3 linked regions of the Notamacropus eugenii genome follow. The main gene of each other region encodes a partner of the protein of the gene in region 3 in a complex. Links are inferred from orthologs where the notes say so. Each region holds a gene or a part of one and is shown on either strand. Other genes may lie near its edges. The genes, in order: TAF6, TAF3 and TAF4.

Evidence for each region.
Region 1: TAF4 (region 3) and TAF6 share a complex: the UniProt entries of both Homo sapiens proteins name them as parts of the TFIID basal transcription factor complex. The link is inferred for Notamacropus eugenii from reciprocal best matches to the Homo sapiens genes TAF4 and TAF6.
Region 2: TAF4 (region 3) and TAF3 share a complex: the UniProt entries of both Homo sapiens proteins name them as parts of the TFIID basal transcription factor complex. The link is inferred for Notamacropus eugenii from reciprocal best matches to the Homo sapiens genes TAF4 and TAF3.

The regions. Positions count from the first base shown.
Region 1 is NC_092873.1:80,655,750-80,666,466, forward strand, and holds the start of TAF6 (transcription initiation factor TFIID subunit 6), read left to right. Parts: upstream 1-5,867; 5' UTR 5,868-6,026; coding exon 6,027-6,058; exon of another isoform or gene 6,059-6,143; coding exon of another isoform or gene 6,144-6,166; intron 6,167-10,062; coding exon 10,063-10,264; intron 10,265-10,438; coding exon 10,439-10,525; intron 10,526-10,698; coding exon 10,699-10,717. Other genes in the region: CNPY4 (protein canopy homolog 4), read right to left, coding at 70-187, 476-598, 917-1,013, 1,166-1,292, 4,982-5,114. UniProt on the Homo sapiens protein: The TFIID basal transcription factor complex plays a major role in the initiation of RNA polymerase II (Pol II)-dependent transcription.
Region 2 is NC_092874.1:175,816,756-175,827,319, forward strand, and holds the start of TAF3 (transcription initiation factor TFIID subunit 3), read right to left. Parts: upstream 4,172-10,564; coding exon 4,006-4,171; intron 1-4,005. UniProt on the Homo sapiens protein: The TFIID basal transcription factor complex plays a major role in the initiation of RNA polymerase II (Pol II)-dependent transcription.
Region 3 is NC_092872.1:501,251,703-501,261,893, forward strand, and holds the start of TAF4 (transcription initiation factor TFIID subunit 4), read left to right. Parts: upstream 1-5,242; 5' UTR 5,243-5,370; coding exon 5,371-5,674; intron 5,675-6,308; coding exon 6,309-7,433; intron 7,434-10,191. UniProt on the Homo sapiens protein: The TFIID basal transcription factor complex plays a major role in the initiation of RNA polymerase II (Pol II)-dependent transcription.

The sequences.
Region 1 (10,717 bases), on a different chromosome or scaffold from region 3:
GACAATGAGTATACAGGTAGGTACCAGTATTTCTGCCCCCAACACTTAGCTTGCCCCTGGGCCACTCACCCATTTCCTGCTTTCCAAGTACATGCCCTTCACAGAGGAACTTCTGCAGGGGCAACTCCTGGTGGTGGAAGTACCAGTCTTCAATGACATCTTCAAAGCTCTCCAACATCAGCTCACACTGAGAGGGAGGGAAGAATAGGAAAGGAGAAGGAAGGAAGATGGCAGACACAATTTCTTCTCCTAGGTGAAGAATTCTCAGAAATTCAAATTCATTCCCTCTAATTTCCTCTGCCTACCCTCTTCCTTCCCCCAACACCCTCTTCTAGGATACGGGTCCAGCCTGTCTATGCCCCAGTCCCTGGCTGTCCCCATGATCTGCATTTACTGTCTTATTGTGTTCCTTGAGTCCATACCTTACTCTCTGTCCCAGCTCATCTCATCTTTCTGGCATATGACATCTTCTTACCTGCTTCTTGAGGAATGCAACTTCCACACTGGGTTCATCCCACAGCTCCAAAGGGATTCCCAGATCCACCTTCACACCCTTCTGTACCAGGCCTTTCAGGGTTGCCATGGTCTCACTCTGACCCTGGGGTGAGGGGAGATGTAAGAGGGAGGAAAGAGAACTCTGGCAGGGTCAGCCCCCTTTGTCTCTATTTCTCTGACCTCTTCCCTCCTCATCCCCACTACACTAAGATCTTTTCATTGAACCTGAGGGTGGAAATGGAGTACCCACAGCAGAACAAGGGCTGAGACAGAATGGAGAGGGCATGGGACATCCCAGGGGCAGAGGTCTTGACAAAGGATTCTAGGAGGAGTAAGAACAAAGAAATACCTCTGAGCAGAGGGACCACCATGGTGGTTTGTTCCATTAAAAGGCAAACAGGGGGGAGAAGATTTATTTTACCTTGGCATATCTTAGGGAGCCCTTGCGCTCAGCATGGACACTGTAATCCAGAATCTGTTCACATAAGTTCTCAAGGGCCTCTTCCAGCCGAATCTCTCTGTGGGAGAAAGAGATGGGAGACAATGAGAAAGAACAGATAACTCATTGAGAACTGTGGGGCTGAAGGAAGTTAGGGAATGATTTATAGGGTTATGGAAGGGATGAAGCATTAGAGGTACCATGACAGAAAGAAAGTCAAGGGAGACTCACGAAGTGCTGTAGGGAACTTGTCTCTTCCTCTTGCCAGTGTCTAGCACCTGCCCTAGTTCTAGCAACTCCCGAGACCGACTGCTCCGATTCAGCTCCTCCTGAAGCTCCAAGCTCAGTATCTTACAGACTATCGAGGAGAAAACAATTGCCAGAAGTATGTTAAAACAAGATACATAGCCCAGTGCACTTGGGGGCAAGACACTCAGGTTTTAGTTCTGGGCAGCCTGGTGTGATAGACAACGTGCTGGTAGTAAGGAAAATATAGGTTCAAATTCCATCTCACATACTAATTATGTGGCTGGGCATCCACTCAGTCTCAGTTTCCTCCTCTGTAAACTAGGGCTAATACTATCTGCAGTATCCACTTCAAAATTTAAAGTGTTCTACAAAATATCAGTTATGATTATTAATATTAGTAATTAGTCATGTGACCTTGAGCCAATCATTTTACTTGCCTGGGCCTACGCTTCCTAGTGAAACAGAGAGTTGGAAAGAAGTTCACTAAGGTCCATTCCAATTCAAAAAATGTATCAGTCCCTGAAGATGGTTTGTATAAACTAAAAGGTGGGAAGGATAAGGAAGAGCAGGGGAGTCAGTTATTAGACATCGATTGGCATTCACCCTATCCTAGGGTACCTAGAAGTATTACCATATACTGATACCTGAGACCTTTCTTCTTATCCTCTTCTTAGCCCATCCCCAAATTATAGGTAAATCCTTACCTATAACTCCACATAAGATATGCTTCACAAAGACTGATTATCTTTCTCCTCAACTCTGCTCTTTCTTCTGACATCACCATTTCCATCCACGGCACCACCATTCACCTGGCCATCTATGTTCATAACTTCCTCTTTTCCCATCCAATCAGTCACCAGGTCCTTTAACTCCTACCTCTGGGATATCTCTCGAATCCAGTCCATCTATTTTATTCTTACTGATGCCACAAAGTCTCATTCTCACCCACTTGGACTATTGCAATACCTTCGTTATTGGCTTTAATGTCTCTTCTCTCTTCTCTCTTCAATCCATCCTGGGTACAACTACAGGACTCTGACCATCACTATTTAGCATTATTAAAAGCCTACCAGGTACTGTGCTAGGTGCTGGAAATACAAAGATAAAAAGCAAAATAGTTTCTGTCCCCAAGGAGCCTACAAAGGTATGCAGAAGAATAAATACATACAGTAAAATAAACAACTAGATGGGGGTGGGCGCTAGCACCTGGGGGATAAGGGAATGTTGTAAAGAGAGTGGCTCTGAGCCAGAATGCCTCAAGAGGCAACGGTGAGGAGGGAATATATTCCAGGTCTGGGGAGAGGGTAATAAAATGGAAGATAGACAACATGTACTTTCAAGCTTTTACTGATTCAGTTATTCCCTATCCCTGGAATGCATGTTATAAAGGGAAGGGAATAAACATTTACATACTGCCTATTAGGTGCCAGACACTGTGCTAAGTGCTTCACAAATATGATCTCGTTTGATCCTGTGATATAGGCAAAAGAAATATTGGTTTTACTATACTGTTTTCACTCCACTTATACTATTTGAGTGACTGGCTAGTATAGTGAGGAGAACATAGGACATGGAATCAAGACAGATTCAAGTTCAAATTCAGTGTCAGATACTTACTGGCTGTGTGACCTCATCCAAGTCACTTAGCCTCTGTCTGTCTCAGTTTCCTAATTTGTAAAATATCACCTCCCAAATCTGTTGTAAGGATAAAATGAGATATTTGTAAAGCACTTTGTAAATAGTAACACCATATAAATGCTACTTATTATTATTAATATCAGTAATACCTTTAGCATCCTACTCTGAAGCTTCATGGTGGTTCTGGGCTCTTGAAGACCATGCTGGTAAAGTACAGCCTTGGTAACAGATGATATAAGTTTGTTATCCAAGAACTAGCCTAAGTGAGAAGAGGCCATAATGTTGACTATCAGGAGAAGTATTCCCCCTCCCCCCCATAACTTCTTATGAAGACCACTGATTAAAGGGGTGTGTTGGGGGGAGTGGGTTGCCTTTTGCATAAAGTGAAGGGCCACACTTATGAAATGAGATCTTCTGAAACAATGTATTACATCAGTAACACTGAGTTCATCAGGGAAAAAGATGCTAGCTGTGTAGCCACAGGCAAATCAGTACGGGATGAAGTCCTTAGTGCTCACAACTTCTGCACAGTCCAAAACTGTTTGGGAGTATCCTTCCCAAACATTCCCCAGTTAGGCAACATGACAACTACCTTTGTTCTTCCTTGCTAGTTTATGGGCATCAAGGAGTGGCTGAATCACCTTCTCCTTCCAAGGCTCCTTTAATTTGGAAGCTTCCAAGCTGGGGTGGGACAGGGCAGGGTGTTCACAACTGCTGCCATGCGAATTAAAAGATTTCTAAGGTCCTTTCCAGCTCTAATATGATTCTTTAAACCCCACTTTCAGCTTGGTAGGCCTGAATTACAGTTTATATCAGTTTTAAGGCATGGGCTCAGAGGCACCAGAGTTTTACATTTGAAAAAACTGTGATTTTGTCCAGGTGGGAAATACTCCCTTTATCAAAGCAGAACACAACCCCTTTGTACCTCAGTAGTTGATCTTTATGAGTTGCTGGGTTGTAAAAAATCATTACTGGGCCAACCTGGTAATAAACTTCTCCCAATTTATCTGGGCTGGTCCTTTGATGAAAGGCTAAGAGTTCTTTCCTGGATGTGATTGAAGCCTTTGGACAACAAGTCCCCCTCCTCCTAGCTCAAAGTGAATGTAAATAGTAAATAGAAACTGTTTCTCTTTTGGCCAGGAATCCCAAGGGTCTTCCCCTCCCAGTTTGGTTTTCTTTTGTTTTTTGAGAATCTGAAAAGACTTTAGCCTAAAAAGGCCAGTGTCTCTCATTGCATCCTGGGCCACCTCCAGTCCTCTGGATGGACAGATGGCTCTGGAGGACAAAGTGAGGCTGCTGACCTTGCACAGCCCTCCCTCACTCAAATCAAAGTCAACTGCAAGTCATGTCATCATCTCCCTCTGAGAAGAAAAGGCAAATACAACAACTTGAAGCCTTTCTGGTTTGGTAGAGCTTCCTACATTTTAAATTCCACCTGCATAGCCTTCAAAAATCCATCACTGCTCCAATAAGACACTAGAACTGGGTTTCGGTGGAAGCTGGAGGCTGGAGTGGCGAATTTCCCTGTTCATGAACCTAAGGACCACAGGGACCACTTGCGCCAGGCTGTGCGACCCTGGGGAAGTCATTCAACCCTGTTTGCCTCAGTTTTCTCATCTGTAAAATGAGGTGGAGAAGAAAATGGCAAACCACTCCAGTATCTTTGTCAAGAAAACCCTAAATAGGGTCACGACTGAACAACAAAGCAGTGTCAGTATTTATTTAGAGCTTTAGTTGACCAAGTCCTTTATGTCTACTTAGCCTCACAACAGCCCGGACAAGGTAATACGACCTTTACCATCACCATTTTACAGGTAAGGAGAGGAGGGCGCAAGGGAACCCTAAGGGGCTCTGGTCAGCAAGTGACGGAGCCTACATTCCCCCCCAGGTCCAATCCCCCTAATTCCCAGAGTCCGGCAGTGACGGGAAGGGGAATACCAGCCACGCGGCTCCATAGGCGGCATGCGGACCGTGCCCATTTTGCGGATGGGTAAACAAGCTCAGAGAGGAGAAGCGCTTTGCCAGGGGCCACACAGCGAGGATCAGTCTCCATCCCGCCCCCGCTTTTCCCTCTACAAACGTCGTGCCCCTCCCTGTCTCAGAGCCCATCCGAGCTGGCCCGGGAGCACAGGGCGCATCCTCGGTGGATGCCCAGGGTACCTTCGCATTTGCTGGGTAGGTGCTCCTCCTCCTCCTCCTCTTCTTTTTCCTTTGGCTTCCCACAACAGCTCTTCAATACAAGCAGGAGGAAGCAAAACAGCAGCAGCTGTCGTCGCTGCCACCCCTGTTCCATGTTCAGCTACCGAGCACCAACCTCGGACAGCGACGACAAAGGAACGATTTTTTAAAAAGCCAGGTTGCAAGTAAACTGGCCCTTTAAATCCAGCCTGGCATGTCGCGAGTACGCGCTTTACCAAGCTGAGGGTGAAGGACCGCGCAGACTCAGAGCGAACGCGCTTGGACTCCTCCCCCCTCCGCTTCCCCCCCCCCCCCCTTAGGTTCACCTACTGCGCAGGCGCCGCGCAAGCGCCAGCACTGTTTGTCACCGTCCAGGTCCTAGATGTGGCGAAGCAGGACGAAAAGAAGTGGGGAAGCGGCTAAGGCAGAGAGCGGAGTATATTCCTTTTGTCCATGGGAATGTGGAAGAGACCCTTTTGTGGAAGCTGTTGGCAGAGGAAGATTTTTCCGGGTTGAGGCGGCGGGCTGAAGGGTCTTTGACCTGGCTCTGCCAGGACCTGTGAGGAAGTCTAAGGTACTGCTAGGACCCGCCGAAGAGGCAGAGGTTTGAGATGGTGGCTCGCGCCACACGAGCTGCTGTTGGGAGCCGGTGAGGAACCGGAGACAGCACGGGTGGGGGAGCCGGACGTCGGGAGGCATGTCTTCAGGGGCTCGATAGGTGAGCGGCAAGTGGGTATAAGGGGAGGAAAGCGTCCCCAGAGCTTACTGGAGGCTCCCCGTAGGATAGTCTGCTGACTACCGGGACTTTCTGCGCCTGCGCGGGAAGGGGGAGCCGGGGTATTTTTAAATTTTCTATAGGAGTTGTGGAGAGGGAGAGCGATCCTTTTGGAGAATTGGCGAGTTGGAGCGGGCATCCCTTGTGGCAGGTACGAGGAAAATAAAATTTTGGCAAAATTGTATCCTGGCGCCGTGGATAGAGAACTGGCGGGAAGCAGGAAGACCTGTATTCAAGTCCTGCCCACGAAGAATGCTGGCTGTGATCCTGGGCCAGTGCCCTAGGTAACTTTATAAGAGTATCGATGGCAGAGAGAGTTCCACACGCAGTAAATTCACAGGGGAAGTCTTGGTAATAGCCAGAGATCCGATGGAAGAGTGTGTCTCATTCAGGTAGAATTTCTAAATTTCTTCTTTTCCACTCATGACCTTTGTGAGAAAGTGAGGGAGGTGAATTTTCTCATTTCTAATTTGGGATTAGATGTGGTCATTATAACCATATAGCGCTCCAAAAAAGAAAGTGGATTTGGACGGACCGTTTTGTGTTGCGGACAGAGCATGCAAGTGAGTGTGCTCATTTGCCCTCCCTAAAGGTGTGAAACTAGTAGCCGGGGCATAGCTTGCGTTTGTACCTTTTCCTGTCTTATTTGCTATAGACCACCAAGAGATTTAAAGTATGTACTTTAAAAACTAGGGAATCCTGAGCTGTAGGGGTGTTGGTTAATTATGGGGCAAAAATGGTTATTGTTTGAACATTTGGGAAATATATGGGATATTCACCTAAAGTGGGTGTTAAGTCTGGCTAAGGGGACTCAGCCCTTTTATAGGAAGAGTTGTTGAAAGAAAAGGCTAAACCTTAGGCTTTGGGTTTGTTGAAATGATCCTGCTCCCCGTTCTCCAGTCTGGGAGGCAGTAGGTCTCACAGCAGAGGCCCCAAAAGAGCACCCCTGGGAAAGCTGAGAGTCCTAGGGTAGGGACTCTCTGAAAGAGTGCAGACCTTAGCCTTGTTTAGCTGTGTTCAGCTAAATTCAGTGCTAGAAACAATAGCTGCTCATTGAGGAGCTTCCTGTTCCCAGTCAGGAGCAAACTCAAGGTAGGAGTGGAGCTGCCTTTCCCGGGCAGCTGCCAAGCCCATCGGTGGGTAGAGTGGTGGAAGGACCTAAGTGCTCAGCTGTGCTGAAGGATGAGTTGTGTGGACTCTCAGTTTCTGCTCACTTTTCCCACGAGGTATCGTGGTTCAAATACAGGCTCAGACACTACCTGTGTCACCTCTTTTTGTCTGTTTCTTGTGCTGTGAAGTAGGGATAGGAGAATCAAATAAGATACCGTTTGTAAATCACAATGCCTGACGCGTAGTAGGAGCTTAATAAATTCTTCCTTCCACCTTTTCACCTGCGTTTTCCTGTGTGTGTAGGAAGTGTTTTGTAGCTACTTGGTTTTACAATGTCAGCTTAGTAAATGTCTTTGCTTTCACCTAATTGTAAGCCCACTGGTGAGAGTTTCTGGGCTAGGGTTTAGGGTTGTGAGCTTGGGGTGCCAGGCCACAGAGTAGTGTACTCTTTGGACTCAACATAGCCAGTCATCCCTCCAAGGAACCAACCTTAAAGTGCAAGTTGGGGATAAGGTAGCTCCTGAAGGAGGGGCTATTCATTGAGGCTTTGTCCAGGTTATATTTGGATCCCTTGTACATTCTGAGACTATCTTTCTTGGATGCCCTAATATTGCAAGAGAAAAAAGATCATATTCTTTTGTTTTAGGTTGTAATTGTACAATCATTTTTCTGTTATGTTTCCTTTCAAAGAAACTGACCCAATTTGTAGATGAGAATTTAGCCACACAGAAGTTTAGTGCTAATGATATCTGTTGTCTTACTCTATCCATTAAGAATGTGAAAGCAGAAACATAATAGTATGCAGGTTGCTTGGAATATTGATTTGCCTAGAGCAGTAGTGTCAAACTCAAATAGAAACAGTTGATTAAATTGTATATAAGTATCCCTGTGGGCCAAATATTGATTTAATTTTAAAGTGGTATGTTTGACACCTCTGGCCTACGTAGAGCACATTGTAGAAGTACATTCATGTTAATTTTTAAAATGATACTTTTGAACAGAGCAGATCTGGATGTTTGCCTTATTGAGGCATGAGTCTGGACAACTTGTCTACAGATCCTTTATTGGACTACAGGTAAATAGGAATAAGATTTTCCTGACAGCCTAGGAACCCTGAGTAATCCACCTTAAAAAGTTAACACCTTCTTAAAAGCCTGGGTGGGGTTCTTTTGGAATGATTTGATTTCCTTTTTAAGAAACTCATTTGCCTGTCCAAGTGAAGGAGGGTCAGTTCAGACTACTGCATTTGGAATGCTGTATGTGTTGCAGGGACCTGTTGGAAATATTAAAATTTTTATGAGTTGGGGACTCCTAAAAGTTGCTGACTCGTAGGGGACTCTTGGGAGTGGGGGTTCAGAAGACAGAGTGTCATAAATAATTGGAGATGTATTGGGGAAAAACAGTTTCTCTGGGAAGACAAAATAACTTATTTGTAAATTCATTTAAATTCTATAAGCATTTATTAAGCACCTACTCTGCCAGTTAAGGGCAAATAGGTTAGCACAGTGTATTGAGTGCCAGCCCTGGAGTCAGGAGGATCTGAGTTCAAATGTTGCCTCTGGGCAAGTCACTTTAACTCTGTTTGCCTCTTCTGCCTCATCCTCATCTGTAAAATGAGGTGGAAAGAAAAATGGCAAACCACTCCAGTAACTTTGTCAAGAAGACCCCAAACGAAGGGCAGCTAGGTGGTGCAGTAGATAGAGAACCAGCCCTGGTGTCAGAAGGACCCAAGTTCACATCTGGCCTCAGAAACTTCACACTTAGTAACTGTGAGCCCGGCCTAATCACCTCATCCTGATTGCCTCCCACCACCCTCCATAAATATAAGAAAACCCCAAATGGGGTCATGAAGACTTGGATGTGGGCAAATTGACTAAACAGCAGCAAGAAACTATGCCAGGTACTGTGCTCGGTGCCAGGGAAAGAAATATCAAAATATGAAAAGGAGTGTTTGGGATGATATCAAGGTTATTAGGTAGAAGCTCAGGATGAAGAGCCTCCTTTTAAAAATTTTTTAATTTAAATTTTTATTTAATTTTTTAAGTGAAATACTGGGACTACTGAAAAGATTGGGGTGTGTGTGTGTGTGTGTGTGTGTGTGTGTGTGTGTGTGTGTGTGTGTAATGATGACATGACTTTCCAATGATTTGGACCAGGTCCTCCATGTACTTAGGTTGAATAATTTTAACTGGGTCATTATTGTACCACAAGGGGCAGCTAGGTGGTTCACTGGATAGAGCACCAGTACAGGAGTCAGGAGGACCTGAATGACATGACTTTGTTTTGAGTCCGGGAGGGCTGTGCAGGTCACCAGCCTCACTTCCTCCTCCAGAGCCATCTGAATCCAGTGACCAGTTATTCATCAGGATGACTGGAGATGACCCAGGATGAGGCAGTTGGGGTTGAGTGACTTGCCCAAGGTCACACAGCTAGTGAGTGTCAAATGTCTGAGGTGAGATTTGAACTCAGGTCCTCCTGACTCCTGTACTGGTGCTCTAGCCACTGCATCACCTAGCTGCCCCCTGTGGTACAATAATGTCTCAGTTAAAATTATTCAGCCTAAGTATATGGAGGACCTAATCCAAACATGGACTTGGAGGTAGGATAGATTCATTGGAATGTAAGTTCCTTGAGAGATTATGTTGGAAATAGTTGAGCAGCAATAGAACAGTGGGGGGCACTGATTCAAAGGTTGATAGGAGTACTTTTAACACTGTAGTCTAGTTTTAAAAGGAGGAGAATGAGGATGACCAGGCAAGGATGGACGACTGAAGGTGGAGGTGAGACTAGGAGGTTAGGGTGAGAGAGATTTGTTATGGATTATGGAGTCAGTAAATATTTATTGGTGTGTAGGTGGTCACATCTGACTTAGGCTGGTACCAGGTTATTATCTCTCAGGTTATTTATCTTGTATAAGAACAAGTCCTATTGCCTTAAGAAGGGGAAACCACTTCAGAGGTTCAACCTCTCTCCATACTGATGAGAAACTTAATGGATTAGCTAGTAAGTTTATATAGTTGTAATCAGGGATGGAAAACCTGCAACCTTGAGGCCATATCACCAGTCTCTCTCCTCTTTATTCTTTGGGTCTCTTCCCACCATTCTAAGGTTATCTCTTTGTCTCTGCACCTCCTCCCCTCCCCCAATCTCAATTTAAATTTCTCCATCTCTTTTGTAGAACACTGCCTCTAGAGAGGAGATTGGGAGTGGTGCCATATTTCACTATGGCAGAAGAAAAGAAACTCAAGTTAAGCAACACTGTGTTGCCCTCGGAGTCAATGAAAGTTGTGGCAGAGTCCATGGGCATTGCTCAAATGCCTGAAGAGACCTGCCAGCTATTAACAGATGAAGTTAGCTACCGTATTAAGGAGATTGCACAGGTGAGCCTTGGTTTCTCAGAAGCCAAGTGTGTTTTTGTTTGTTTTTTCCTTCCTAACACACTGAACTTGAGTCTCAAATCTTGATGATTTGGAACCCTTAAATTTTCCACTCCCAAATATTGCATTGAATTGGCTGTCTTCTCTTCTCTGACCCTGGTTTTCTCCTTTCTATAGGATGCCCTGAAATTTATGCATATGGGGAAGCGACAGAAGCTCACAACAAGTGATATAGACTATGCCCTGAAGTTGAAGAATGTTGAGGTACACAGGTCGAGGAGTTGGGTGTGGGAGGTGGAGGTGGTGGTAGAGAAACCAGGTTACATGGGAAAATAAGTTACTTGGGGCAAAAAAGCTCCACTACTTTAATTTTACAGTTTTCCCTCCTTCCCTGTCTCATCCTAAGTCTCTCTTTTTGATCTGCTTCTCTACCTCAGCCTCTGTATGGGTTCCATG
Region 2 (10,564 bases), on a different chromosome or scaffold from region 3:
AAAAAATTTTAAAAATCAATAAAACACTCAAAAATAAACAGGAAGAAAAAGTTCATAACAGTACCAATTGCAAAATTTCGTTGCGACCTCATTAAATTTAATATATTTTTTAAAAAACCACATAACAGAAGCTTAGTTTTATATAGAATCCTCTTTTTGTTCTTTTATATTGAAACATTTGTTTCTATCTATGATTAGATTCATAATAAAAAAGAAAAATTTTTTAAATGACATAAAAAGTCTCAGTGAAGGAATATACCACAGGCTCAGTTTGATATAAAAGACTGCCAAGTATGATGGAGAGTAAGGGTCAAAGGTTACTGCTTAACAAAAATGAAATGAGTACTTAAATACTTAACAAAAAATGAGCAATTTGTCAAATTTAATTGAACTAGGAGATCCACATGAATACATGCATGCATAAATATGTATATATCTAGGTAAACCACATATACATGATAGATACGTGTGTCTATACATAAGTAATAACCTTTCTGAGTCTCAATTTCCTCATCTGTAAAATGTGAGAACTTCACCACACAGTCTCTGAGGTCCTTACCTAACCTGCCCTTTCACTAACCTCATGCCTTTCACTCTCTGGTCCAGGCAGGGGAGTTGGAATGCTCCTTACTTCCCAGTGCCACTACCATGTTCTTCCTCTACCATCCATTATTCAATAACCTTTCCTCCTTTGAGCATGACCAATCTACATTTATCACCCTGTAGCTGTTATCTACCAACCTCCACTGCATTCTCTTCTTCTCTACAATTTCAGTGCCTGGCTCACAATCTTTCTCACCTCCCCAATTCTTGCCCTTATACAAAGGGACTTCAACATACATACTGATACTTCCTCAAATACCTAAACCTACCAGAGTTCCTCAACTCACTCATTTCCCATGACCTACTCCCTCCACCACACCCCTCAATTACACACAGATGGTTATACCCTTGATGTTACCATTACCCACAAGTATTCTTCTTACACATTCCCCATCTGATCAGTCTATTGTTATTCTTCTTGTCCTGTGGCCTTAAAACCCCAAACTCCATTCTTCATCCTTACCATGGCATCCAATCCTTCAACCCTTTAGTTATTTACCAGGCCACCACTGCTGCACTAGCAACACTCAGGAGAGTTCCCTTCCCAATGATGAGTCCTTGGTGAACCAGTTCAACTCTATTCGAAAGTCTCTAAAGTCCCTTATCCTCTTGTCACCATCAATCTTGCGCTGCTAACCCTCAGCCTAGATTACTCCTACCATCCACTGTCTTTGTTCCTATTCACATGCTGCACAATGAAGCCACACAAAAAATCACGAAACCATGCTGACTGGGTCCACTACAGATCTGTTACATAATCTCAATTGGGCCCTGACTCTGGCAAAGAAATCCATTCATACCTCCCTAAACCATTCATTATCCCACAGCACTTTTTCCAAACCTTTATATCCTTCTTAAAACTTCCCAAGGCTCCCCCAGTCCCACCCTCTCCAGAGAACTTTGCCTCACATTTCACTGAAAAAACTGAGGCCCTTTACTAAGTGCTCCCTCTTCTCCCCTCTTCCTCATCTCACATCATTCACATGCTTTTCTGACAAAATTTACTCCTTTTCATTGACTCACATGAAGAGGCAGTCCTCCCTGCCAAGGCAAACCTCTCTATATCCACAGGTGATCCCCCTGCATCCTTTCTTCTCCTGCGGAGTATCCTCTCTATCATACCTATATTCTCACTAATCTTCAGTCTCTCCTTGTCTACTGACTACATCCCTACTAACAATAAATAAGCCCATACCTCCCCTAACCTCAAAAAACCCTCACTGGAGCCGTCGATCCCCACTAGCTAATGTCCCATATCTCTCTTCCGTTTTGAGGTTAAACTCCTTGAAAAGGTCATCTACAATAGTTGCTTCCATTTCCTTTCTCCCCACTCTCTTCTCACCTTTCTAAAAGTCTGGCTCAAGTCTGTTTTCCAACATCATAATTCAACTGAATCCGCTCTCTCCAAAGTTAGCAATCATTTCTTAATTAGCAAATCTAAAGGTCTTCTCTTAATCCTCATTCTTCTTGAAGGCTCTACAGTCGCTGACATTGTCTATCACAGTCTTCTTGACATTTTCTTACCTCTAGGTTTTCATGACAATCATCTGTCCTGATTCTCCTCCAACCTTTCTGAGCTTCTTAGTCTCCTTTTGCTACATCTATGACCAGTTCACACCTGCCAACTCTGTGTCCCCCCACCCCAATACTCTGTCTTGATCCCTCTTTTTTTCTTTCTACACAATTCAGTTTGATGATCTCATCCATCCCCATGGATTCAAGAATCATCTCTGATCAGATCAACTTATTCAGTCTTAAGTTCTTTCCAAACTTTAACTCTCCAATCTCTAAAGTGTCCAGCTGTCTTAATGGATATATCAAAGTGGATATCTTGTATACATATTAAACATAATATGTCCAAAACTGAACTCATTATTTTCTTCTCCCCCAAGAGCTACTCTCTTCTTAACTTCCCTGTTGTTGCCAAGGACACACACAGACACAGACACACACACAGATGCAGACACGCAGACACACACACACACACACACACACACACACACACACACACACTGCTGCAATACACTACTGGTCAATCTCTTTGCTTCAGGTTTTTCTCTACTCCAATCCATGCTTAACTCAGCTGTCAAATTGATCTTCCTTTTAAAAACACAGCTCTGATCACATTATCCCTTCTCCTATTCAATAAACTCTAAAGGCTCCCTACTGCCTTCAGGTTGAAATAATAAAAAACTGTTTGTCTTACATAACCTGACTCCTTCTACCTTTCTAACACCATCTTTGATTCTGTGACACTGGCCTCCTGGCTCTGCCCTGGATACTACTCATCTCTCAATTCCAAACATTTTCACTGGCTGCCCCCTCCCACCCCCCAAGGCCTGCAACTTCTCCCTCTTTATCTCACTGGTTTCTTTCAAGTCTCTTTCCCAGTCTTAGGGCCTTTCCTCAGAAGTTACCCCCAATTTATCCTGTATATAATTTGTTTGTATATACTTCTTTTCACGTTGTCTCTCTCGTTAGACTGTGAGTTTCTGAGAGCAGGGATGATCTAATGTACTTGGCATAGCAGTCATCTTATATAAATCCAAGCTGACTAACTAAAGTACCTGAGTACCTGGCCACCGTAATGACTTAGTAATTGCTAGTTGACTGACGAAAGTAACATCAAAAGTTATAGTAGTGAGTTGTCAGGAGTTTAAGGTGCCACAAAAAGCTATTTCTCAGTATTTTTTCAGGCTAATTTTGACAGCAAAAGGCCCCGTAGCACGTATTTAATAACAATTGTTAACTTATGCCAGAAACAAAAGACTAGAGTTAGATATGAACTTAATGACAACACTTGAAGAATGAGCTGCACCATACTTTGGAGGCCCCTGATAAACTTACCTTGATCTACACCCTAAGAACCACCAGAAGAAAGGAAGGTAAAAAAACCCTCCTCGTTGGATGAAGATAAACACGTCAGACAGAGGCTAAGGCATGGAGGGAGAGGGGCAAGCTCCACAGACCTAGCGTGCACGCAGCAACGTGTCCGTGAAAGGAGGAGAAAAGGGAAGGAAGTGGCAGTGCTGGTCAAGACCCTGCCCAACAGCCCGTCCGCAGACGGGGCGCCGGGGACAAGCGCCGGTCCGGGGGCAAAGGGCTCGCCCGAGGGGCGGCCTTGGAAGGGTCGGGGCGCCGAGGAAGGTCAGGAAAGAACACTAAGGGGCGCATCTGCGGCGGGCAGCGGGCGGTCGGGACGTCCGGGGGATGCCGGCGGAAAGTCGGCAAGCTAAGAGGGATGCCCCCTCCCCTGAGCCGAAGAAATGTTCCGGGGGAACAGGCCGGGAAGAGCGCGGGGGATGAGATTCAGGGGTCGGAGGTCAGCCCGGGAGAAGAGCGGAGTCGTGGGCAGAGGGCAAGGGTCAGCGGCCACCCTCCCGCCCCGGCCCCTCGACTCACACAGCTCCGAGTAGCGGTGGCAGCCCCGGCCCAGCTGCTGCAGGTACCGCTGTAGGACGTCCGTGAGGAGGTGGCAGGCGCTGAGCTGCACCGAGTCCCAGCCCAGCGCCTGGCAGATCTGCGCCACCGACACCCGCAGCAGCGACCGCGAGTAGCTCTCGCACATCCCGCTCCACGGACTCCCGCGCCGCCTCCGTCCTCGCCCGCCGCCCTCCTCCCCGTCGTGCTTCCGGCTTCAGCGGGCCTCCTGGGCCATCGTCCGGGACTCCCCTCCACAGCCACCACGCAGGGGAAACCGTTTCCCGGACTCCCGGCGTCTAGTTCAGAGCCTCCGCTCCGCCGGGCGCGCCAGCCTGAGAGCAGCCATTTTGGATTCGCCCCGCCTCCGTTTGGGGGCGGTCTCTCCGACGAGGCAGCACTAAACTGTTGCCGAAAGCATCGATAAGTAGCAGTTCCCACCCCGCCCTCGGCCCCATGGATGATTCCGGCGGTCGCCCTGGTCCCATGGCCTGCCGGGGCGGACACTCACATGGACTTGGAGCTTCGCGATTCGTCCGGCTCTTCCCTCCGCGCTGCCGCCCTGCTGGGGGCCACAATAAAGTCTCTCCTGGCCATTTTCTAACCTCGGATCCCCACCCACGCTTTCTGTTGGGGCAAATGCAGGGGAGGGGAGGGAAGGGACTTTGCGCTCGGCCAGAGAACCCACGTAAGGACGCGGCTGCCCGGGAGGTCCGAGGCTGCCTCCGAGGCTCGGGTCCGAGCATCCCTCCCAGCAGTTACGGGACGGAGATGGTGGTGTGCGCCCTCGGCGTGTCAGATAAGCGTGTGTTTATGAAGCTGCTGTTCGGGGCAGTTAGTTTTCTCCAGTTAGCAAACATCTCACGCGCACACGTGCCCTCCAACCTTCCCGGTCTTCGTTACACCATAGCCTCCAGTAACGCAGGTCTCCCGGCTCCATCTCCAGGGTCTGAGCGTTGTTTTTCCGGCTGTCGCCCGTGCCTGGAAAGCTCTTTTCCCTTCCTCCTCTCTGCCAGCTGGCTTCTGGCTTTTAGGTCCCCTTGCCGCAGGAATCCTTCCCCAGCTCCTCCTAATTCCAGCGCCTGCCCTCTTTCAGTGACAGGCATGCCTCGCGTTATGGAGCTTTGCTTCATTGAACTTCGCTGGGTACTACGTTTTTGACAAAGTGAAGGTCTATGACAACCTTTCCTCTCTCAGCACCAGGGTTTTCAACAGCGCCCGCTCCTATGTATTATCTGTGTGTTACATTTTGGTAACTTCATTACTGTTATTATGATACCTGTTAGGGTGATCTGCGATCAGTAATCTTTGGTGTTACTCTTGTAATTGTTTGGATACACCACGAATACTGGATGGATAAATGTTGCCTGTGCTCTGACCGCCCTCTCTCTCTTTTCTGGGGCCTCCATTCCCGGAGATACTACAGTACTGAAGAATATTACATAAACGTAGCTGATAAAGCAGCTGAGGATTGGCTACAATTTTGAAAGAAGTTCTACTGTGGATAAAATGCTATCAAACAAGCATCATGTGCTATCGAGAAACCGTTGGGGAAAGAATCAACTGGTGTAGCCAACTTCATCATTGTCTTATTTTAAGAAATTGCCACCCCAGTCTTCAACAACCACCACTCGGATCAGTCAGCATCCATCTACAGGAAAAAGATTAAGACTCACTGAAGGCTCAAGTGATGGTTAGGATTTTGCAGCAATGAAGTATTTTTAATTAAGGTGTGTACATTTTTTACACATAATACTATTGCACAATTAATAGACTACAGTAAAGTGTAAACATGACTTTTTATTGTGATGGTCTGGTACCAAACCGTCAATATCTCTCAGAGATATGCCTGTATTTCCTATTTATCCTGTATATAGCCCCTTACATACATGTTTTACATGTTATCTTCCCCCATTAGATTGTAAACTTCTTGAAGGGAGTCTCTGCTTGGTGCCCCAAGACAAATTTCCAAGACCATACATTACAAATGAGTTATGGATCTACATTAAGGTGATGAAATCACCAATCTGAACAATTCCATACTCAACTCACAATCACTCAGTCCTACAAGCATTTATTTTAGCACTTACTTTGTGACTGGTCATTTAGTTCAGTGCTGGGAATTTAAATATAAGCAAAAATAAAGACCCTCTTCTCAAAGAGTTAACATTCTAATGGAGGTAGGGTAGGCTACACATAAAACCAAGCTGAAAACTTGAAAAAAATGTGGAAGGGGAGCCAAATTGAGCCAGGCTTGGGCAGCCTCCTTCCACAGAGATTCTGGGAAGAGCCAAGCAATCTGAAGGTGAGGCCCACAGGGACTGAGGACACTTAGGAGGTGTAAATTCCAGGGCTGAAATGAAGAAGGGTTTGCAGCCACTTTAGAAATGGAGGTGTAAAAACATCCCTCTTTCATTAAGACTGGCAAATTTTCAGGATGTTAGGGGCAAGTAACAAAGACAGATTTAAGGGTCCATTCAGATTGCATTTACACCTAGTAAAAGATGAGCTCCTTCCAGCTGGGAGTGAATCATTTTGTACCTTATAAGTATGTAAAGCTTGGAGTTAGGTTTAGGCATATCTAGTAAAACCAGTGAGGCTTTGAGTAGATAATTTGCATATGAAAAGGTCAGTAAAGCAGATGAGCAAGACCATAGGACTGCCAGTTTCTTTTTCTTATCTACTCATTTGCATGGACCAATAAGAGAGATATAGAGGTTTAAAAAACTGAGGACCCCTGAACCTCAGAGTTCCTTGGTGATTATTGGACAAATGGACATTGTCTGTTTATGCCCTGGCTTTTAGAGATGAAGATTTGGAAAATATACTGAATCTATCTGCTGCCTTTGACACTGTTGACCCCCCCTCTCCTGACGGTTCCCTCCTCTGGATTTTCGAAGCACTGCTCTTTTTGTTTCCCCCCTTCTCACTAGCCTTTGCTGGTTCATTATCTGCCCTCAGCCATCTTCTCTATATTCTCTCTATATAATCAGTCATTATCATCTCTGCAGATGACTCACAGATCTATACTGTATATCTAGTCCTGGTCTTTCCCCTGAACTTGAGTCCTGCATCATTAATTGCCCATGAGACATTTCAAACCAGATATCCCAGAGACATCTTAAACTCAACATGCAAACCTAGACTCATTATCTTTCCTAAAAAACCTCCACCCTTCTTTCAAATTTCCTAATTTCTGTAAAAATTACGACCATCCTTCCAGTCTCACACATTTGAAATCTTGAAATTATCCTGGATTCCTATCATTTCCTTGCCCTACATATCCAATTCATTGCCAGATCTACTGTTGATTAATCCAATCCCTTCTCTTCATTCACACAAGAACTTTAATTCTGGCCTTCATCACTTCTCCAAGATTATTGCAAAAGCTTCCTAATGTGTCTCCCTGCCTCAAGTGTCTTACCACTCCTGTACATCCTACAAACCGCTGCCAAAGTAATTTTCCTAAGTGCATATCTGACCATGTCATTCCCTTATTCAGTCAAGTGATCAATCAGTGACTTCTTATTGCCTATAGGATAAAATGTAAACTCTTCTCTTTAGCTTTTAAAGACTTTATACCTCCTAGTCCCAGCCTGTCTTTATGATCTCACTGGACATTGCTGCCCTTACTATACAGTTTGATTCAGCCAAAGTCGGCTTCTTTCTCTTACAAATGACACTCCATCTCCCATCTGGGATTATTTACACTGGATACATACAGCATGCCTGGAATTTCACTTCTTCCCCTTCACCTCCTAGAATGCTTCTCATCCTTTTCAATGTAGCTCAAGTACCATCTTCTGATTGAAGCCTTTCCTGATTACCCCAACTGTGAGTACCCTTCCTTATAAACTATCTTATGTAGGAATATGTGTGCTGCCCATGTAGGTTATATGTATTCCACATGGATTTTTTTAAACGCTCCTTGCAGGGAGCTGTGAAGACCTATCTCTGGACTCTCAACCACCTCTCTTCAAAGGAAACTTTGATTCTTATCTGGAGGAGAGCAGAAAATTGGTGGCACGTTCATGACTCACTCTGCTCTTCTCAGAGAGGGGATTGAAGTAGACTTATCTAACTGCCTTCCTAAATATTACTTTTGTTGTTCAGTTGTGTCTAATTCTTCATGACCCCATTTGAGATTTTTCTTGACAAAGTGGTTTGCGATGTCCTTCTCCAGATCATTTTACAAATAGTGAAACTGGTACAAACAGGGTTAAGTGACTTGCCCAGGGCCAGTAAGTGTCTGAGACCAGATTCAAACTCAGGGACATGAGTCTTCCTAACTCAAGGTCCAGCATTCTGTATACTGTGCCACCTAGCTACCTCAAATATTGTTAGTCTAGAGGAAATGATTGTTCAAGTAACTCTTCTAATAGATATCCCTTAATGGGAAAGGAATGCTCCAAACTATGTCTAAAAGCTTGACTCCCTTTCCACCAAATGATAAACAGTGGCCATCATGATAGTATGTGGCAAATAGAACCCATTTGTCAAAGCCAATAGCAAACAGAAATCAGAGAAGTCATATAGGTTAGAATATCCTGGACAATATGCAGATTATATATCCTTTCCCACTGAGAGTGGTATCTGCACTGAGAGAGAGTCCCCAATCTCATCCAAGAGGAAACTCTCCAAAGGCTGTAGCATAGGAAACTGGGAATCTAGGGCATATGGAGGCACCAGCTTTTCTACACGTTGCCTTCTTCCCAAAGTCTTTCCCTTCAAGGTCCTCTCCCAGAAAAGAGCCTGGACTAGACAACCTTTAAGATCCCTAGCTATGCAGAGGCAGCTGGGTAGTGCAATGGATAGAGTGCTGGGCCTGAAATCAGAAAGAATTGAGTTTAAATCCAGTCTCAGACACTAGCTGTATTACCCTGGGCAAGTCACTTTGCCTCTATCTGTTTCCTCACTTGTAATATGGGGATAATAATAATGGAACCTACCTCCCACAGGTGTTGTGAGGGCCAAATGAGACAATATTTGTAAGGTGATTAGCACAGTGCCTGGCTAATAGATGCTTGTTTCCTGTTTCCTTCCTTTAAGGTCTAAACTTGTCATTTTAAATCATCCCTTCTTTAGGAAGTTATTTATGCTCACTTTCACAAACTGAGAAGCCAAGAGATCTGAGGAAGAGTTTGATAAGAGCAAAGTCACAGTGCTTCAGCTATTAAGCTTCCTTTGCTAAGACATTAATTATAAAACACAGTGACTTATGAGAGATCTGATGAATGATGCTTTCACAAGCACCTAATTATAAATTTATCATCTATAATAACAATGTTCAAATTCTTCAATCCACAGACCATATAAGGCAGTTTAGTTGAAGGGTTTGGAGTGAAGACATCTGGATTTGCTTCCCAGTGTGGTATAGTTAAAACAGACTTGGATTTGCAATCAGAAGACTTACTACTTTCTTATGTGAGAAAATCATCCCACCCTTTTAATACTCAGTTTACTCATCTGTAAGGTGGGAAGACTGGATTAGATTATCTCTATGGCATATTCTAGCTTTGGCATTCTAACTAGGGCAAATCTTCCATGTGAGATCACACACTTTGACCCTCATTTTGTGCCGCAGAAGAGAGAAGAGGAAGCAGTGTAGAGGCTGGGGAAAGGGAAAGAAGAAGGAATAAAATTAATAGAACCTCTGTCAGTATAAATTCTTTCAATTGAAATTTTCTTTTTAAAACTTTTACATAAAAATCTTTTGTTTTTCTATCACTTTCATGTCCAAATATAACCTTCACTCCCCTCTCCCCAGGTAGTCATTCTCTGTAATAAAGAGTTTGAAATGAAAGAGGAAAACAAGCAGTTCAGCAAAATAAATCAACAAGCATTTATTAAGTACCAGCTGTAACTTCTTTCCCATCCTCTAGCTTCACATTTCCAACTAACCTTTAGACATCTTAAACTCAATATGTCCAAAACTGAATTCATGGTCTTACCTTACAAACCTCCTTTTCCTGACTTCCTTTTACGTCAAAGATACTACCACCATTCTCCCAGTTACCTAAACTTGGGACCCATTTCCACCTTTGTAATATCTCTTGGATGCCCCCTTTTCTCCCCTAACACCACCACCATCCTAATTAAAGTCCCCCTGCTTCAAGTTTCTCCCCACCACAATCCATCCTCCATTGAGCTCTCAAATTTATCTTCCTAAAAACACAAATCTGACAAATCTGGAGTAGACTCCAGTAGCTCCCTATCATTCCTGTATCAAAAATAATTTCCTCTGTTTGGCCGTCATAATCCCTTCCTAACCTGATCCCTCTCTACCATTCCAGTCTTCATACACTTTACTCCCCTCCATGTATTCTTTGATCATGTGACACTGGCCTCCTTGCTCTTCCTGGAACATGACACCCCATCTCCAAAATCCAGGCGTTTTTACTGGCTGTTCCCAAAGGCTTAGAACACTGTACCTCTTCATCTCTGAGTCTTGGTTCCCTTCAAGTCTCAGCTAAGGTCCTACCTTCTATAAGAAGTCTTTCCAAGGACTCCTTCATATTAGTTTCTTCCCTCTGATGGTCTT
Region 3 (10,191 bases):
GACCTTGGTATCTTTAATGTCTGACTGAACTCTAAGTTGATATCCAAGATAGTTAAGGAGAGAGTAAGAGTGCTTGTACTTGCTTTTGAGTTCATATCAACTGACCCAGATGAGATATAATCTTTAGCTACTAAAAGATGTGACTGATACGATTGCCAAGTCAATGTCAATAATATTTGATAGATTGAAAATGGGAGATATGTTGTAAGACAGAATGGCAAATGTTATCCCAATTTTTACGAAACAAAGTTTGTGATTGATTTGATTTCTATTTGTAAGGTATATTGAGGCCAAGATCTAGTCTGTTAGGTAGAGAAGTATCTTAAAAAGTTGACTAGTCTTCTGAATAAGGCACTAATGGCCTCATATTAGGTTGTTTAGGAAACTGCCCTAACTTGACCTGTTATTTCACAATGTAAAGTCATTCTCATGTAATATTTCATTTATCACAAATTTGGTTTATTAGTTTTGTCTCCCTAAGGAACTTATTTACTACAGGAAAATCTCCAAATATAGCTGCCTTTTTTCCTAAAAAAATTCTCATCTTTCCCTACTTTATCTAATGGGGTGTTCAGGGAGAATGAGCACCTCTGGCATGAGGGCCTGCAAAGCCTTTTCCAGGGCTGCTCATCTACCTTTGGTGTCCACGTGACTTACCCAACTCTCACCTGTGACTCCAAGAAGCCATAGGGTGACCAGCAGTCATACCTGTCCCTACACAAGGGCTAAACCAGATTGAGGATAACTGACAGGCCTCAAACCTGATGAGTTAGGGGGATGTCTATTCCAAGCATGTGAAGACTTTCCCTCCTGGAATGTATGGATAAAAACAATTTGTTCCAATGACCATGAAGGTTGCTTATTTACTGTTATCCTGCCTGGACCATCACCAGTCATCTTGACTTTTGTCTTGCCACTGGACTAATATGACTCAGGAAGAGAGAGTGAGGTTGATGACTTTGTGCAACTCTGCCTCATTTAAATCCAATTCCTGCACAAGTCATGACCCACGATGTCATTGATCCTCTTCAAAAATGAAGCACAAACAATTGCTTAGTGATGTCAAATGTTTATAGCTGTTCATGGATATTGGTAAAGGTCCTTTATATTTTCTTTTGTTTTATCTGATTTTTTTCCTTATTAAATTTAGGAATATGATTTAAGTTCCAGAAAAGATATTGTCTTGGGTGGATAACTGAATCTTTCTTATGCAAACCAATTTATTTTTAAAAAATAATTTTCTGCATCACATATCTATTTAGATACATTTGATGTGTATGCACACACAATTTAGATTTGTATTCTTGTTCATCTTACTGATTTAGACTTGAGGAGACCACATTGCCAAAGAAAAGTAGACTGAGGCAATTTCCAAGCCATAGGAACTTGGTCTACTAGTGTTTCTTGAAAAAAGAAAGTACCAAGTCCCATTAACAAGTTCATTTTACAATAATTCCACATCCTTGATTATTGTAAATACAAAGAAACAACTTTCCCACCTTCCACCCTCCCCAAGAGCACCTCTTATGGGGCCTACCTAGCAGGGAGGTGCTTAAAATATATTGAAGTTGATTTAGATAATTTGCTTTTAGTGCAAACTTATGAGTCCAATGTTCTTTTCCTTGTATGTGAATGATTTTGTTTTTTGCCTGATAACATATTCAAATGTATAATATCATAGTTGATGATGCCACATTTGGAACCTGGCAAAGAAAGCTTGACAACAACACCATTAGGACGAAGTGCTATATAAAGGTTCATTGGATCAATTTTATTAACTGAAAAATAAGGGAAAGGGCAAAGATTTACTCAAGTTGCGTTTTGTCAGGTAGAAGAAAACTATTAGATATAATTAGTATGCATATCAGGGCTGTATCTTGGCATGATCATAGTACTGAGCATTCCTGGTATTGAAAGGTTAAAGCACTTAAAGATATTTTAAATTTAGCACTCCAGGGCTCAGGAGAAATCCTTTCAAAAATCCTCCAAAACCTTTGGGTTAGTGACTCTCCTTGACCATATAGGTCCTTCTAAAACCCATTTCCAATTCCCACCAATAACCTTTCAATTTAATTTACCTGTATTTATTTAAACACAGTGCTGTGCACCAGTAAGGCACTGGAAGAGATAAAATTTAAGTAGGAAATGTATGCCTCAATGGAGCCTGTAGTTCTGTAGAAGTGCAAGAACCAAACAAAAATCTCCATAATACACCATATTACACAAGTGCATTAATGAAATGCAAAGTAAAAAGTCATGTAGTTTACAAGGGTTGCTACAATCCTCCATGGAGGTGTTGATATTTTAGTTGGAATTTAAAGGATAGACAAGTAATTCCAATAAAAGCAGGGCCTCCCAGACTTTCCCCAGGCATAAATAAGGAAAGGCAGGAAGACTAGCACAAGTCTTCATAAATTTTAGAGAAACCCATTTTACTTTGGAAATGCATGCATAAATACATACTTGGTAGATGAGACAAAATAAATCAAGAACAACGATAAGAGGGTAGGGAATTTATCTAGAATCTCTATGAACCCTTGGATAGAGATGTCTGATACTTCAAGTGTCCGCATTCAGGGTAGCAATCAATGTAAGACCCAAACAGTTACTAATTCCACACAACAGCTCAAGCAATGAAACCACTCACTCTAGAATATAAAGTATTTGTGTTTGGTTTTTTTTTGGGGGGGGGATTACCACATTTTAAACAAAGGAAATAACATTTTTACCAACTTTTCTCCACCCCCAACAAAGCACTAAAACACTTATAATTCTAGTTCTAAGAAACTCTATTACAGTAACACTGAGCAAGGAACAGCAAATGCACAGCTAACTCTTTAGAGCTACCACCATTCATTTAAAAACTAAGGTTCCTCCACAGGAAGAGTGTAGCCACTATTTGACCTTCCATATTTAGACAAAAAGAAACTACCACCCACACAGCTTGCCTGCCCACAGCCCCTCTTTAGCCCCAGAAGCAGGACACATTCCTCCCATTGTAGTTTAATGAAACTAGAGGTTACCATGTAATCACCATTGTTTCCTTCTACGCTACTTTGTCATCCTAAGATGGAAGATCTCATGCTTTTGGAGTTCGTCAGGATTCCGACTTTTTTTTAGAGGAGTAATCAAGGTGATTATTTAAGGTTATATTATTCACTTAGAGATGACTTTTCCACCTCGTTTCTCCCCTGCATTTCCGGTTGCTAGTCGCATCTCCACCAAGAGGTAAGGGAATAAAGTACAACTCATTCTATTAAGCAGCTTGTTCACAGGTCTGTGGTGGAGGGAGATGACAGGCCAAGGTTAAAAAGGTTTTCTTTCTCCATCATGGGTCTCCATTAATACACAGGAGGGTGAGGCGGTATGTAAATAAGTGACATAATCTAGGTGGCAGGCTCCTTACTCTACTCAGTAATTACCTGCGTTTTTAAAGTGAGGAAATCACCCTGAATTATCCCTTCCGCATGAGGATGCGCAGGAGGCACACATGCGGGACGACGCTCGTAAACCTGTGTTTACAGTTTTCCTGCGTGCCGAGATAAGTAAAAAAGGACTGAAAACCAACCTACAGTAACCCCCTGGGGATCGGGGAGTCAGGCTTTATGATCCTTTCAGATGTCACTTCCGATCAAGTTAACCCGAAGACAGTTCAAGTTTGGCCTGCTCCCCCGTCAGGTACATTCATTTCCCTTCGCTGCCTTCTCAGAGCCTCTTTCCGCATCCTTCCCGCCCCGAGGATGCGCCACTGTGGGACCCCCGGCTGGCCGGGAACATCTCCCCTCACCCCCACCCCACTTCCTCTGGAACGCGGGAGGAAAGGCATTGTCGCCTGTGCCAAGTCTAGTCTTCTCCCCGACGCAGCCAAGCCTCCCAGGGCCGCCCAGGCTCTGCTGCGATGCCTCGGTGCCCCCCCCCCCCATCTCTCCCTCCTTCCTTCAACCTGCTCCAGGCTTAGGCTCCTCCTCAGCCCGGCGCGGGGGAGCCCCACACAAACAAGCCGGGAGGCGGTGCAGCCGGGATGACTCTTCCGAAAAGGACTCCCCCCGCCTCCCCCCAAATCTCTCCACCTCTTGAGGGTGTTTCCCCTTCCGAGGAAGGGAAAGGGGTGTGTGTGTTTGGGGGGCGGGCGAGGAGGAGCGGGGTGGGGGGGTGGTTTGCAGACTCCGTGGGGGTCAGTGACGAGAAGGGGGTGGGGAGTTGTCGGCAGCGCCGAGGGGGGCGAGGACACCCGTGAGTGGAAGGGAGAGAGTGAGAGACACCCCCTTCTTGCCTCCACGCCAGCAGCCCCGAGGTCCCGAGCAGGCGGCGGCGTCCCCCCCAAAACAACCCAACAACTGCCTCCTTTTCCGACTCGAGTGACGAGGCCGAGGCGCAGCCCACAGCCTCCCCCGCCCCACTTTCTTCTCTCCTCCCCCAGACGCTTCTTCCCACAGCGCAGCCCTGTTTATTCAGGAGGGCGTCCGACGGCGACCCGAGCAGGGGCTCCGGGGGTGGCGGCGACAAGAGGCGAGGGAAGCTGCGCCGAGCGCGCGGGGTGAAATGGCGGTTGGCTTCGGGGTGTGCGGCCTCAACCGCCGTTCTCCTCGTCCCCCATCCCCCCCATCCCCGTCCCCGCTCCCCCGCCTTCCTTCCCTCCCTCCTCCTTGAGCTCGGGCTGGGCGGGGGTGTCTCAGTTACACGCAGCTGGCAAGCGGCGGCGACGGCACAGGTGCGGGGCGGTGGCGCCCTTCACCCCTCGCTCGCTCCAGCCACACTCAACCCGCAGCCATTTTGGAGCAAGCAAAGACAAAGAGTGAACCACCGCCTGTCGCCGCCGCCGCCCCACACCAACTCCTCCACCCCGCCCCATCTCGTCTTCCTCCCCCGCCCGGTCCGGCTGCGGCGCTCCGCTCCAACCCCTCCGCAGCCAAGCCCCGGGGCCGCCTTCACCGCTCCCCGGGCATCGAGCTACCGCCGCCGCCGCCAGCGGCAAAGGCTCCGCATCCGCCCCTCCCCCCAGCCACCACCATAGCCGAGGTCGTCGCCGCCTCCCTCCCCACCCACCCTCCACACTCTTTCCCCTCCCCCCGCCCTTCGGTCTCCCGACTGCTTCCCCTCTCCACTCTTCAATAACGCTCGCAGCCATTTGCCGTCGCTTTTAAGCGCGCCGGGCAGCCAATCAGGACGGGCTGGAATCCCGGGGCCGCGGTGACGCGCCGCCGTGGCGCGCTTGCGCGGCGGGCGCGGAGGAACCTCCCCGCCTCCCTCCTCCCTGGCGGCCCTCCTCCCCTCCCCGTCCCCGGCTCCCCTCCCCCTCCCCCCTCCCTTCCCCACACAGCCCTCCTCCTCACCCAGTCGCTATTAGCCAAAGCGGCGGAGTAAAAAAAGATGGCGGCGGGTTCGGATCTGCTGGATGAGGTTTTCTTCAACAGCGAGGTGGACGAGAAAGTGGTGAGCGACATGGTGGGCTCTCTGGAGTCCCAGCTGGCGGCCAGCACGGCCCATCACCACCATCACCCTCACAGGACGCCCGAGATCCGGGCCGGAGGCGCCGGGGGGCTGGGGAACCATGTTGTGAGCGGCAGCCCTGGAGGAGCCGGAGTAGTAGGAGCCGCCGCCGCCGCCGCCGCCGGTGCTAATGTCCAGACGGAGAGCAGCAAAATGGGACTGGCCCAGGAGATCACAAAAGCAGGTAGAGCGGCGGCGGCGGGGGGCGGCGGGGGCGGCGGGTCCGGGCCGGGGGAGAGGGAGCCGAGAGGGAGCGAGAGAGGGGAGCCAGGGCCGATCCCCCTCAGCCCTGCCGACCCCCCTCCCCAGAGGGGGGCCTGACACCCTCCCGGGGGCACCCGGCGTGAAGGGGCTACCCGGGCCCGGGGGAGCCCCGGACCCTCCGTGGGCGGGTGCATGGGGGATAAGGAGGCAGAGGGGCAAGGGATGGGGGGTCCAAGACCCCTCCCTGGCTACAGCGAGGGGACCCTGGTGGGGTAGAGGGAAGGGAGAGGGGACCCCCCTTCCCCAGGGTGGTCCAGCCATCCCAGGGGGCGGACGGGGATGGGGTCTGGAGGAGCTGACATCCCGAGCACAAGGTTCTGACACCTCAGGTGTGGGGGGTATCAGTAACTGGGGGACAGGGAGAGCGCTCAGTTCCGAAGGGGGACCCCTCCAGAACTGATGTTTTGCTCCCTCGATTTTTCTCACTCGCCAATTTGTGTCTCCCGTTAATATCTTAGCACGTCTTGGCTGAAGTAATGCCCCCCAGACCTCCTCCCCCTCCCCCGCTCTCTCTTTTTTATTTTATTCTCTCCTTGTTGTTGTTGTTGTTGCAGGGGCCGGAGGAGTGCAAGGGGGTGTTATTAATCACAACACGACCCGGTCCCAGGGTTCAGCTCTGCTGGATGGAACCTCCTCGTCCACCTCCACCAGCAGCAGCAGCACCAGCACCAGCAGCTCCACAGCAGGCTCCGAAGCTGCTGCTGCTGCTCCAGGGGCTGCTGCCATCAGTCAGGGCAAATCGGTGGTCATCAGCAGCACCATGGCAACCGCCTTGTCCTCCAGAAACGGCAAGATCGGTACCACCGCCACGGTGCAAACTTTGAATGGGAGTAACGTCGTGATGAACTCTCACCATTCAGGAAGTGCTGTTGCCTTTGCTGGGACTCCGACTGCTGCTGCTGCTGCTGCACCTGCTGTCACCCTCGTCAACAACGGACCAGGATCTGTGGTGTTGCCGCTGGGGAAGGGAAATGCTGTCAATGCTGTTTTGCCTTCAGCTTCTTCTAACACTGTCATCCAGACTTCTTCTTTCCTCAGCACTGCTGTGTCCTCCTCTTCCTCACCCACCGTTATCTCCTCCTCCAGCATTGGAAGTGCGGGACCTACCGTGGCACTAGTGAGGCCACCAATTCACACAGCAGGACCTGCTGCGGCTTCTGTGGCTGCAGCCACCCAGAATGGGAGCAATACTGTGATCAATTCAACTATCAGTGTGGGGAGTTTGCCTGCTACTGCTGCTGCTTCTGTAGCTACTGTGGGTTCTGGAGTTTCCCTTCAGGCATCCCTTGTGAACAGCCAACCTGGCTCCAACATGCCAGCCACAGCCACCACACAGGTCATCAAATCAGAGTCCCCTAAAACTATAGTGCAGGCAGTGCCTCAGCAGCAAACGTTGACAACCAGTGGCCAGTCCACCGCAGGGGGTAACATGATCATTGGGCAAACTATGCAAGGTGGCATCCCCAATCCTAGTGGGATACCACCTCCTCCTCCAGCTCCTGGGACCCCTACAGGGATGGCTAAAGGCACTGCCAACACAGTGGCACAAAGTCTGCCAAGGACTCCAACAGCTACTACAGGTGGTATCCGAGCAACATTGACTCCTACAGTTTTAGCACCCCGTCTGCCTCAGCCACCTCAGAATCCTACAAATATTCAAAATTTTCAGCTACCCCCAGGTAAGAAAAGCATTGAAGTATTTATTGTGGTGAAAGGCAAATGATCCAGATACTTTAGTTATAAGTCATAGGAAGTTCTTGTTCTCATTTAAAATGGTAAGGCCATTTACCTTTTTTGCCAGTTTTATGAGAAGTGTGTTATGCTGGTTCTTGTGACTGGGACATGCTAAGTAGACCTGCTTTACAGACTTTTGTACTGCTTAAATCTTTGTATTTGCATTTTAAGTCTGTGTTCAGATCTTCCCACCCATAACATCATGGTGTTCTGCTGATGCATATTCCTATTTAATCTTCTTCATTGCATCTTTGACTTTTGCTTAACCTCTGCCCCTGTACGCCCCTGCTGCCAGAGGAAGCAGGCTACTTGCTCTACAGCAGCAGGTATGTCACAGGAGAAAAATTACTTCGCTATGCGAATGTACATTAAAACAATCTTGGATTTCAATTTTTTTTAAAAAATTAGAGTTCTAGATGTAGCCTTGCCCATTAGTAGTTTCTGCAGTCAGGTATGATGAGTCTTTACCTCACCACATATAATTTTTGTGTTTGTCATCAATTGTTAGAGGAGTTCCTCAGATAGGGGAGTATGTGGACCTGGTTTCCAAAGGTGACAGAAAGATAGAATGACACACTACACTCCCTGTTTTTAGGGCTGCTTGATTAAGTCTTTGAAAGCTTTTACTCTTTTCAGGGTATACTTTAAAAAAGTATTTAGATATCAGAATGATATTACAGTTTTTAAGTGAACTGAGTCTAAACTGACTCATAAAAATGAGTCTACAAGGATCACATCATTCAGGGTTAACATTCTAATCCTAAATTGTACTTTAAGTATTTTTTCAATATTCTCAATGTTCTTAATATTTTTCAGTGCATTATTGTTACTGCACAAAAAACACCTAATTAAATTTTACTATTACTGCCTAATGAAATCAATGGTTTGTATATGTCATTCATTTTAGTGGGTCTTAGGGTAGTAAAAGTAATATATTATGAAACTACTATCTAGGACATCTATAGAATGATGTTTTTATTTCAGAAATGCTTTAATATTTGTAGTAGTTTTATGAGTGTCTTTCTGTCAGTCAGTTATGCAATATTATTTTATGGTTCTTAAAGTCAGACAGAAAAACACTGTGAATTGTATATAACATTCTGACATTTTTTCAGAATCCTTAGGCATACAAAAGACCTCACCTGAAATATTTCCTGGTTTTGATTTTGCCTAGAGGTAGTATTTTTAATCTAATATGGTTATTTTATGAGTTAAAAACATTTTCCCTTAAATCTAATCCCTTAGTATGTAGTAATTGTATGTGTAGTAGTAGTAGTAAAATCAGTCATGAAAACTTGGTACTTCACATGTCCCATAGTATTTTCTAAAAATAATGAGTGGCTGCTTCAAAACAATTTCTGTATCAATGAACTGAAAGGTTTCCCTGTGTAATCATTTTGAGGTTAAGAACCAGTGATTTGTAAAACTTCAGACAGGGGTCTTTTTTTATTGGTGAAATCCTGGGGGTAGTTCCAAAGCCACTTAAAAAAAAAAAACAACAAAGTTTTTCTTCTTTCTTTGAACTTAGCTTTGGCATAATAAAAAACCCCAAAGAAAGGGTATTGACATTTTGTGCTGGTGATTACAATAGACATCTGGGGGTATTCCAGAGTAATTAGCCTTAGTTTTTCTCCCTAATTATCTAATAGCAAGTATATTTTTGTTTAATTTTAATCTGTGGAACATAACATAGTTTGTAAAGTTTGCCATAACCTTTTATGTATACCCATTTTCCTAAAAGATTGCCATACAAAAGACCTGCCTGTTTAAGTACTTTTCCCATATCAGTAAGGTCCATCCCTATGGTTTGTAGTTTAGTGCTTTAATTAAAATTGTTATTGTCATTCTTTGAGCAAGAAGGTGCTTCAGATGACTGTAAGATATCTCACTAGTCTTAAAGTGGTTTAATTGAGGTCCTCTTATTAAGAAACTCCTAGTTACTGTATCAGTCAGAATAGTTTTCTTCTCAATATGTCACATTCCTCAAGTGAGATTTCTTTTAAAGGAAAAACTAATATAGGTTATACTTAGAAATACCACTGATTATAGGCCATGTTCTGTTTTTATCTAATCTAAGTTTTTTGGGGAAAAGTAGCCCTATCTTCTGACAATATGGTATACTAGTTTTTAATTGATATTATTAAGCAGTTAAATCAACACCTTGGAAATATGGAACTAATTGGATCACTTTTAGTGAGAACTTCCTCTTTCATTCCTATGAGTGTATTGCTGTTGGATAGGGAAAAGTGATTAGAGGAGGGCTTGCCCTTTTGTTATTCTTTTACTAATGGTTTTGAGCGAGATGTTTATGATTCAGTTTCATTTGTAAACCAGATCTCTCTGGTGCAGATTTGACAGCCAGATAACACTATTTGTTAAATTCTGGGAAAAAGTGAATTTTTTTATTCGTGTGGTTTTTGCAGTATTCCTAATTTTTTTGCACCAGAGAAAAGCCTTAGGTCTGATGTGTGAGTCACAAACACTGGGAGCGTGGCTCTAAGGCAGCATATATCATTTTCTTGATATTTATCTTAGGTATATTGTCATATATCTATCAAAATGTTCGCATCATTTTAGGACTATGATTCCCACTATTCATTTTTCAATGAAGTAATAGATTGCCAAAGACCCAGTATGAACTTTGTGAAGTTAACCTTTTTTTTTTTTTTTTGGTGTTCAAGGAAGTAAATTAGAGTTAGTTAA